Linked DNA regions of Caenorhabditis elegans. The protein of the gene in region 2 purifies or fractionates together with the protein of the main gene of each other region. This does not show direct contact. Each region holds a gene or a part of one and is shown on either strand. Other genes may lie near its edges. The genes, in order: toc-1 and slc-30A5.

The links.
Region 1: the proteins of slc-30A5 (region 2) and toc-1 purify together in Caenorhabditis elegans (affinity purification with western blotting, with the first as the bait; one study listed by BioGRID). This does not show direct contact.

The regions. Positions count from the first base shown.
Region 1 is NC_003281.10:5,273,638-5,278,183, reverse strand, and holds toc-1 (similar to Transporter Of divalent Cations), read right to left. Parts: upstream 2,896-4,546; coding exon 2,842-2,895; intron 2,770-2,841; coding exon 2,640-2,769; intron 2,596-2,639; coding exon 2,450-2,595; intron 2,369-2,449; coding exon 1,989-2,368; intron 1,866-1,988; coding exon 1,643-1,865; intron 1,150-1,642; coding exon 742-1,149; downstream 1-741. Other genes in the region: clk-1 (NADPH-dependent 3-demethoxyubiquinone 3-hydroxylase, mitochondrial), read right to left, coding at 155-290; Co-chaperone protein daf-41, read left to right, coding at 3,428-3,546, 3,681-4,030, 4,137-4,195.
Region 2 is NC_003279.8:14,356,850-14,361,875, reverse strand, and holds the start of slc-30A5 (Proton-coupled zinc antiporter SLC30A5), read right to left. Parts: upstream 3,315-5,026; 5' UTR 3,215-3,314; coding exon 3,153-3,214; intron 3,109-3,152; coding exon 2,986-3,108; intron 2,921-2,985; coding exon 2,595-2,920; intron 1,970-2,594; coding exon 1,776-1,969; intron 948-1,775; coding exon 629-947; intron 1-628. Other genes in the region: Y105E8A.2 (Endoplasmic reticulum lectin 1), read left to right, coding at 3,568-3,927.

The DNA.
Region 1 (4,546 bases), on a different chromosome or scaffold from region 2:
TGAAAATCGTAGCAGCTGAAGTTTCAAACTACAGTACCCTTTAAAGGCGCACACCTTTTCGATAAGGAAAAATCGCAAAATTGCGTTTCAAATTAGTTTTCAGCAACGAGTTTTTCGAACATTTTTTGTTTCATATCCAGTCAAAAGTGAGGACCTTGCAAAACAGCCAACTGTCCAGCGTAAATCCGATCGGCTCCAAGCTCTCCAGCATGATCAACTCGAATGATCTTCTCTATAAGTGCTTGACGAGAAGCAGCAGTATGTGCTCCACGGGTTATTACACGGAACATCTGTATTTCAACGTTTTCAGTGGAATTTTATGTGTTGAAAACATTATCACAATGGTTTCTGCCAATTTTAAAAATGTCAACAAAAAAAAAATTTTTAAAGGAAAATGTATTCTATAAAATTAAATTGTAAAAAGAAGGAGCAAAGCTTTCGAAAAACAGGGAACAATGAATAAATTAATTAATTTAAATATCACTAGATGAGAATTCATGGGAAATGAAAATACAATCACAGCTATAAAATCCAGGAAAAAAGTAAATAAATTAAAGTTTTGGTGGCGGGAACACTAGAAGAGGTAAACAAATGTACTGGGCCAGCCCGGATATGTACAGAAAATACGACATGAAATTCAGTTTTTGGTTGAACTCTTAAACTAGATTGGATTGAAATACAAAATAGGATTGAAATACAAAATAGTGCGAAACCCGATGTTTTCAACAAAAATCTATAGCACTAATGATAAAAAACGCCGTCATGACTATGTCCATGATGATTGTCTGATCCTGCAGAATGACTGTGTCCATGATTATCATTATTTCCTCCATGACTGTGACCATGATCATGTTCGTTATGATCATGACTATGTCCATGAGAGTCGTGGCCATGATCATCATGTCCATGACTGTGTCCATGATCATTATGATCATGAGAATGTCCATGCCCATTATCATGTGAATGATTTCCTTCACTCTTATGAATATGTCCATTCGAATATGGAACTTGCTCTCCTGCAGACCATGCAGCGTCTTTGACAACTTGAACAGTCAGCACTGTGATTACAGATGAAAACTTTTCGGTTACATGAGCCAAAACATTCTGCTCATCCGCATCTCGTCGTACACGAACATCAACAGTGCCAACCTGAAAATAATAAAAAAGATTAAATTTTTAAATATTTTTATTGATTTTTTAACATAAAATAATTATCTTATAAATAATCCAATTGTATAAAATCAACTAAAATTTAGTGCCAGTTTTTGAGGCGTTAAAAATGGTTTTAAATTTCGACCATGTTTCGATTGCTTTTCCTTTTCGAACTTTTCGACCTAGGATTTCCTCATCCTCCCTGGCTCAATCGGTAACTGAGTTCAACTCTCCACCACGGGAAAATTTTTTGCGAATTTTTTCATCCCAAAAAAATGGAAACTTTTTTTTTTTGCTACAATTGCTACAATACATTGACACTTTTTTTTTCTAAATTAGTAAATTATGAAACGCGAAATAAAAACTCGAAAAGTTAGTTTTGAAAAACCGGACGTCTTATTAACAGATTTTTGAACAAATAATTGAGGAATTTTGAGAATTATTAATAAGAATTTTACTTTTTTTAAAATGTTTTAAACTGAAGATTTACCAGCGAGTTAAAATCCAGTTGCCAGAAACGTCCACTCTTCAACTCAAGAACACCGTCTATGTGAGAAGCTTCAGAAATACACCGATCAATTTGATTAATCAAGTGCGGAGGAGTTGTTTGAAGTAGAATCATTCCAGTATATGTTGATAGTGGATACATCGTTGAGAACACAGCAACAGAGAGCAGCAGACAGCATACTGGATCAGCCCATGCGAAGTCGTGCCTAGAAATGAGAAATTTTATATAATTTTTTTAATTGTCTGATTTATTGAAGGTCATAGCCGTAAAACGGTAATTTATAGGCCAAAATTATGTTTCAAATGAGGTGTATGATAGCTAAACTCACTTGAAATGTTCACATAACAAGTTCAGTCCAGTAGTCGTCAAGGCTAACAATACCATTGAATTGATTCTTGGCAGAAGAAGACGCGAAAGGCCAGGAATAACCCAGCACACAGCATGGGACAAATCAGCTGCATGCTCTTGCAAACTTGAAGCCGTTGCTGATTGAAGAACATGTTGAAACGGTTGATTTTTAAGAGCGTATGCTGAGAGAAGCAGCGCCACTGAAGATGCAGCAGAACCAACAAAATATGGCCAGCCGCCGATTTCTTCTACTTCATGTTCGTGAGCCGCTGAAGCATCATGAGAACCATGGTGATCAGGGGATAACAAGTGCTCGAATGATTCCTTCGATAAAAAGATGGAAAATAGTTGAGCCAACACCTGAAGAAGGTTATTTTTAATCTCAAAAATACTGATTCCAATTGGAATACATTTTTAATATTTAGTGTTTCAAAAACTCACGGTAGTACTAAAGACTGCCAAAACCGGTACTCTGGCTAATCCGTAACTAAATTTATGCGTTGGTTTTTCGGTTATCGACATGGAATACAGAGACGCGAATTGGGAGCAAAACGAAAAAATCGTAATCCAAAGAGTTGACATTAGAACTGAACAAAAAACTATTATTTTTGCACTCAAATACAACAATTACCTATCGAGTGGCTCGTTGATACGCAATATGCCAAAATTCCAACACACGCCAGGCATATTAATGTGGAAATTAGTCCTCGTTTCCCTTGAGGATGGTGTAACGACCTTGATACCCATGAGAAGCTGACCATCTGAAAATAGAACACTGCATTTTTGTTTCTGAACAATTTTAGACGCATAAAACAATAAATTAACAACTATACGCTGTGGAAGTCAACACGATTCAAATTTTTCTTCAGAAAATCCATTGCTTCCATATTTCCATCAAAAAATGTTCATTGAACGATTTAAAATTAAGCTGAAATGAGCCAAAACCTCGTAAATGGAGACGTGTTCGTTCAAAGGCGCGCGCACTTTCACCACTGGGTCTCGCCGCGATTTGGGAACTCTCTCGAATTATTTGAATTTCTGCCGTTTTATCATCTTCATTATGCGTTTCCATGGCAATTTTCCTGAAGAACATTCGCGACTTTATATTTCTAATCCATTTACGTTTATATTCAATGCCATTCGCACTTAAAATATATCGATTTTGGCCAATAGTCCTTGTATTTAGGAGAAAAAGGTTGTAAGAGAAAAATCAATCGAAAAAAGAAATTAAGTGGACAATTCTTGCTTGTTATTGCCGTGATATGAAAACATTTTCATCTGATGGCTTTATTTTCGTCAATTTGCATAATCATGCTAATTTCAACTGTGCGCTTATTTATATGTCGTGCACCTTCCTTGAATTTTATTGATTATTGTTCGTATCCGTCTAGTTCTCTTTTCGAATTACAGGCAAAAACCATGGCTAAGCAACCAACAGTTCTCTGGGCCCAGCGTGAATCACTTGTCTATCTGACCATCGAGGTTGATGAGGCGAAAATCGAGGAACTGAAAGGAGAGGGAAACAAGCTTCACTTCCAGTACGTTTCGGATTAATATTTCGATTTCTATTTTAAATGTTTAAATACGATATGAAGCATATTTCTTGCTTCCTAAATATTCACAGAATGTTCATGATGGTACATAGAATGAGTCGTAATTCGTAAATTTTCAGAGGAAGCAGCAAAACTGACAAGTACGAAGCAACTCTCGAATTCTTCGACGAAATCGATCCTGCATCCGTAAAGCACACTGGATCTTCAACCCGCGTCGTTGAGATCACAGTTCAGAAGAAGACCCCAGCCTGGTGGCCAAGACTTCTTCAAAACAAGGGAAAGGTCCATTGGTTGAAGGTTGACTTTGGAAAATGGAAGGATGAAGACGAGGATGATGAGGCTGAGGATGCCGGAGCCGGAATTGGCGGTGGAATGGCGAACGGATTCGATTTGAACCAGTACATGTCCCAGATGGGAGGAGCTGGCGGAGCAGACTTCGGAGGTCTTGAGGATGATGAGGAAGATGACGGTAAGTATTAAGTGCAATAATATCCTTTTTGCTTACTATTAGTAATTCGTTAATGATAGAAAACCAATGTAGTATTAAAATGTTATTTATTATAAAAAATTTTCAGATATGCCAGATCTCGAAGACAACGAAGAGGAGGAAGGAAAGAACGGAACGAGAGCTTAAGCAACTCCTCAAGTCCCAATTGTTTCATTAAAAATACAATTTGAATTTCTCTAATTTAATTCTTTATTCATTTTTCTCTATCCCGATTATTCCTCTTCCAGTTTGTGAACGCTTCACGTATCTCAGTCACAGAGTTTCATTTATTGTTTCCACTTTAAATATTTATTGAGTAAAGTGATATCACACCCATCTTCTTGCAGTGAACTTGTGAATTCTGACGGCTTAATTTTTATCCCGCATTCGTTTTTCTAATCAGTTTCCATGGGCAAGAACACAATTGGTAAGGCTCTGGTAATACTTTTCTAAAGTTGTTACTTTTTTTAAAATGTGAGCATACAAGGTATTTAATTT
Region 2 (5,026 bases):
ATGCGAAAAATCCAGATTTTCGGGATTTTCTTCAGCATTTTTTAATTAGAATTTCGAGAAAAACGCACCCAAAATAAAGCAAAAGTTACACTTTTAGTGAAAAAAAATTCAAAATTCAAAGTTTTTGGTGAGGCTGTGACGACTACAAACTACAGTTTTTCATAGCCTCAACCAATTTTTGGTTGAGGCTAGCCAATAGTGTAGTTTGTAGTGTGAGCCTCAACCAGTATTTAACGCAAAAAAATGGGTTTTTCCTAAATTTCGAACGGAAAACTTAAATCTAACAAGAAACCCTAACATTTTCAAGATATTTTCGACAAAATACGGGTTTATGGAGCTTAGTTCAGGCTCACAGACTACAAACTACACGACTCTCTAAGCCTCACCCAATTTTCTTTGGTTGAGGCTATCAAGATTTGTAGTTTGTAGTGGGGGGGGGGGGGGGTCTCAAGCGAAAATCCGGTTTTTGATGTTAAAAAATTGCGAAAATTCGATTTTTAAGGTAAAAAAATAATTTTTTCAGCCAGAAAAGTCGATTTTTTTCAAAAAAATCGGATTTTGGTGCGAAAAATCCCAATTTCAGGGATTTTTCAGCATTTTTTTGATTAGAATTTCGAGAAAAACGCACCCAAAATAAAGCAAACAACAGTGATCGAAACACCGCCAGTCAACGCATGATCTCCGAGATTTTGGCTTCCATACCAAAGGTATGCGAGCCCAAATGCACACGAGAACATGGTAACAGAGGACCAACGAGCTGCAGCCATAACTGGATCAGCAACGTGTTGGAAGCATATACTTTCAGCGTAGAAATCGAGTACAAACACAAATACAGCAATGATTACGAGAAGAGCAGCGTAGTGGAAATAGCCTATCGAAGCTCCGGAGCTTGAGGAAAGAGCCCATGATAGTACGGCTACAGGCGTTAGGCAGACAGCACTTCCAGCCTGAAAATTTAAATTTTCATTATTTTTTATTTAAAAATTTGAATTCTTTCAATTTTTTACTTCAAAAATCAAATTTTCCAAAATTTTGATCGGAAAAAAACGATTTTCCCTAATTTATTACGTCAAAAATCGAATTTTTCCAATTTTTAACCAAAAAAAAAGGGAATTTCCTATAAATTAAAAAAAATCGAATTTTTTCCCCAAAAATTCGAATTTTCCCTAATTTTCTACTTCGAAAATCGAATTTTCTAAAATTTTGATCGAAAAATTCGTATTTTTCGAATTTTTAACCACAAAAATGGAATTTCCTATAAATTAAAAAAAAAATCGAATTTCTCAGTTTTTTCACTAAAAAAAATCGAATTTTTCCAATTTTTAACCAGAAAATTCCTTTTTTTTTAAATTTTCTGCTTCGAAAATCGAATTTCCCTATTTTTACCTAAAAATTTGAATTCTTTCAATTTTTTACTTCAAAAAAAAACGATTTTCCCTAATTTATTACGTCAAAAATCGAATTTTTCCAATTTTTAACCAAAAAAAAAAAGGGAATTTCCTATAAATTTTAAAAAAAATCGAATTTCTCAGTTTTTCACCAAAACTGTCGAATTTTCCCTAATTTTTTCCAGACACATTCCGCGAAAAAACTTAAAATTTTACGTAAATTTATAACTTTATAGCAAATGTTTTTTTCGGTTCATGAATTTTTAAAGGAATAATATCTTAGAAACTATTACAGAAAAAAAAATCCAGCAGAAAATGTGTGATTCTTTCGGAATTTTTTATGCTTTTTCGGGTTAAAATTCACGAAAAATCCATAATTTTTATTACCGTAACAAGTGTGTGAAGCCTCTTTGCACCGCCAACTTCTACAGCTAAATGCCGGAAAGACGTCTCGTAGCCGGTACGGAGAAGCAGTGAGATTAGCAGAATACATAGACCTCCTTTATGATCAGCCATTCCGAAAAGTCCAATTAAATGATAGAAGAGGTGGTTGAGGCCACTGTGGTGGGCGTGGGTGGTGTCTGGAAAGTTGGAAATTTGAAAAAAAAAATTAAAATGTAAAAATTTTATAGCGATTTTGAACGAAAAATTGGTTCATTTCTCGGTTTTTTAACTAAAAATCGCGATTTTTGAAGAAAAATGGGTATTTTAAAGTTTGGGTGAGGCTCACAGACTACAAACTACAACTGTTTATAGCCTCAACCAATTTTTCACACTGATTTAATGAAAAAAATTTTTTTGGAAACTAATAAAAAAAACCTTTTACTCAATTTCCGATGAAAAAAAAATGATATTTTTTGCAGTAAAATCGGAAATTTTAAGCTATTTTTGAGTGAAAAACTGATGTTTTAAAGTTTGGTTGAGGCTCACAGACTACAAACTACAACTTTTTATAGCCTCAACCAATTTTTATTTTTTTAAATGTTTTTTTTCGGAAATTATTAAAGCTTTTTGTGCATTATTTTTGATGAAAAAATGAACATTTTCGCTGGGAAATCGGAAATTTTAAGCTATTTTTGGTGAAAATAGGTATTTTAAAGTTTGGTTGAGGCTTACAGACTACAAACTACAACTCTTCATAGCCTCAACCAATTTTTCACACTGATTTTCAGTGATTTCTTCGAATTTCAAGCGCCAAATCCTTACGATGTGGATCCTCAATAGTTCCGTCTCTATCCATAAGGAAAAGCGCCACAAATCCGACAATTAACAGGAAAAATCCACGTGTTTTGGAGGGAGTTGACATATTTCCGCCCTTGAAAAATGAGACAACCGCCGATAAAAGCACAGTTGAACTGAGCTCAAAGACAAGAACACTCCGTAATGGTCCACAAAGTGTGATTCCATAAAACCAGAATACTTCGATAACGCTATTCATCAGGGAAAGCTTCAAAACCATGGGCATTATGCCTCTTTTCAGTGATTTTCCGGCTGAAAGAGGCTTTTGCAGGGGGAATAGGATACATGTACATCTGAAAATCATTAAATAAATTAATAATTGCGTAAAATATTTTAAAAAAATTTTTAAAAACCGTACATTATTTTACAAAGCCACAGAAGATTCACAATATGCGAGCTTTTCGCGAGAATATCCACGAAAAAGACTCCAATACATCGTAGAATTTTGGTGAGCACTAGCACAACGAAATATGACGCTGATCTGTAATTTTCAAAACTTTTTAATATTTTTTTTAATCAACAAACCTCGAAGATTGCGTTGGAGTGAAGTTTCTGTCGTCTTTTTTGACGAAATCGTGGGCTAGCATCGTGGATAATGGCGATTTTTAGGGTTTTTATCGAAATTTATCGATTTTCGGAGAAAAAAATCAAAAATTTATACAGTTTCCATCCCGAAAATGTTCAAAAAAGGTTGAAATAAATTGGAAATTTCCGAAAAAGGTTCCAAAAATTAAAAGTGTGCATTTTACCGTCACGGTGTCTGCACCAAATACACCCTATTTGACGACAATTCGCGTTGAACATTATTTTTCTATTACACTATTACACGTGTTTTAACCGAAAATGAGCATTAAAATGGGGTTTTCCGTTTAATTTTTTTCACTGAAATTATCAAAAATATGCTAATAAATCGATTTTTCAGGTGATAAACCTTCAAAAAATGGTTTCAACAGGCTTATTTCGGCCGACAAAAGCTATCCCGCTATTATTTCTTCTCTTTTCTCTTTACAAAACTGAGAAAATCGATGATTCTATTCACTATTATGTGTCATTTACAAGTGATTCGGTGACAATAAAAGATCCACCAACACTGGAAACAGGGAACACTGAGCTATCCGATGATTATGTGCGAATTATGTCGAAAAACAACGAGCGATTCTTGTGTAAATTGCCGCAAATTGATGTGGAAGTGAAGAAAAACGTGGAATATTCGGGAGCGACGGCCGGGAAATTGCTGGAAACTATGCTGTATAAGGATAAAATGTGCAGCTATTTGATCGATGTTTATTGGACTTATCAGGTAAATTTTTATCATAAAAATTGATGAAAATGCTTTGAAAACCTAAAAAAAATCAGAAATTTTGCGCATTTTTTACTTAAAAATTTTTTTTCGAAGGTTGGTTGAGGTTCACAGACTACAAACTACAATTTTATTAGGCACTGAGGCTCACGAAAGTTGTAGTTTGTAGTCTGAGCCTCCCCACAAATTAAAATTGTTTTTTTTGTCTTATTTAAAACCCCAACTGGTGTAAATTCAATTTAAAAAAGTATCCAAAAAATTTTATAATTTTTCTCTGAACACGCTGAGGCTCAGACTACAAACTACAAAATTGGCTAGCCTCAACCATGAAGGTTGTAGTTTGTAGTCTGTGAGGCTCACCCAAAACATAAATGCAGTTATTTCGACTGAAAATCGCTCGTTTCTCGTGATTTAAAAATGAAAATTTTGCAAAAATGACTACAAGCTACAAAATTGGCTAGCCTCAACCATGAAATTTGTAGTTTGTAGTCAGTGAGCCTCAACGAAACTTAAAAAATCCCGTTTTTTGCGGAAAATCATTTAAAATTCCCAATTTTACTTCAAAAATCCTTTTATTCATTTTTTCATCAAAAAGTGAATGAAAAACTAATTTTCGTCACAAATTTGAGGCTCACACTACAAACTACACTCCTTGCTAGCCTCAACATTGGTTGAGGCTATGTATAGTTGTAGTTTGTAGTCTGTGAGCCTCAGCCAAAACATAAATGCAGTTATTTCGACTGAAAATCGCTCGTTTTTCGTGATTTAAAAACAAAAAAAAAAGACTACAAACACTACAAAATTGGCTAGCCTCAACTAAATTTAACTAGTTTTCAACGTGTAAAATTGCAAGTTGTAGTTTGTAGTTTGTAGCCTCACCCAAAACTTAACATCGACGCTTTTTAACTGAAAATCGCTCGTTTTTTTCGTTTTAAAAACGATAAATTTGCAAAACATGACTAAAAACTACAAAAATGGCTAGCCTCAACCATGAAATTTGTAGTTTGTAGTCTATGAGCCTCACGGAAACTTTAAAATCACCGTTTTTTGCGAAAAAACCGTAAAAATTTGCAGATTTTACTGCGAAAATCTCAATTTT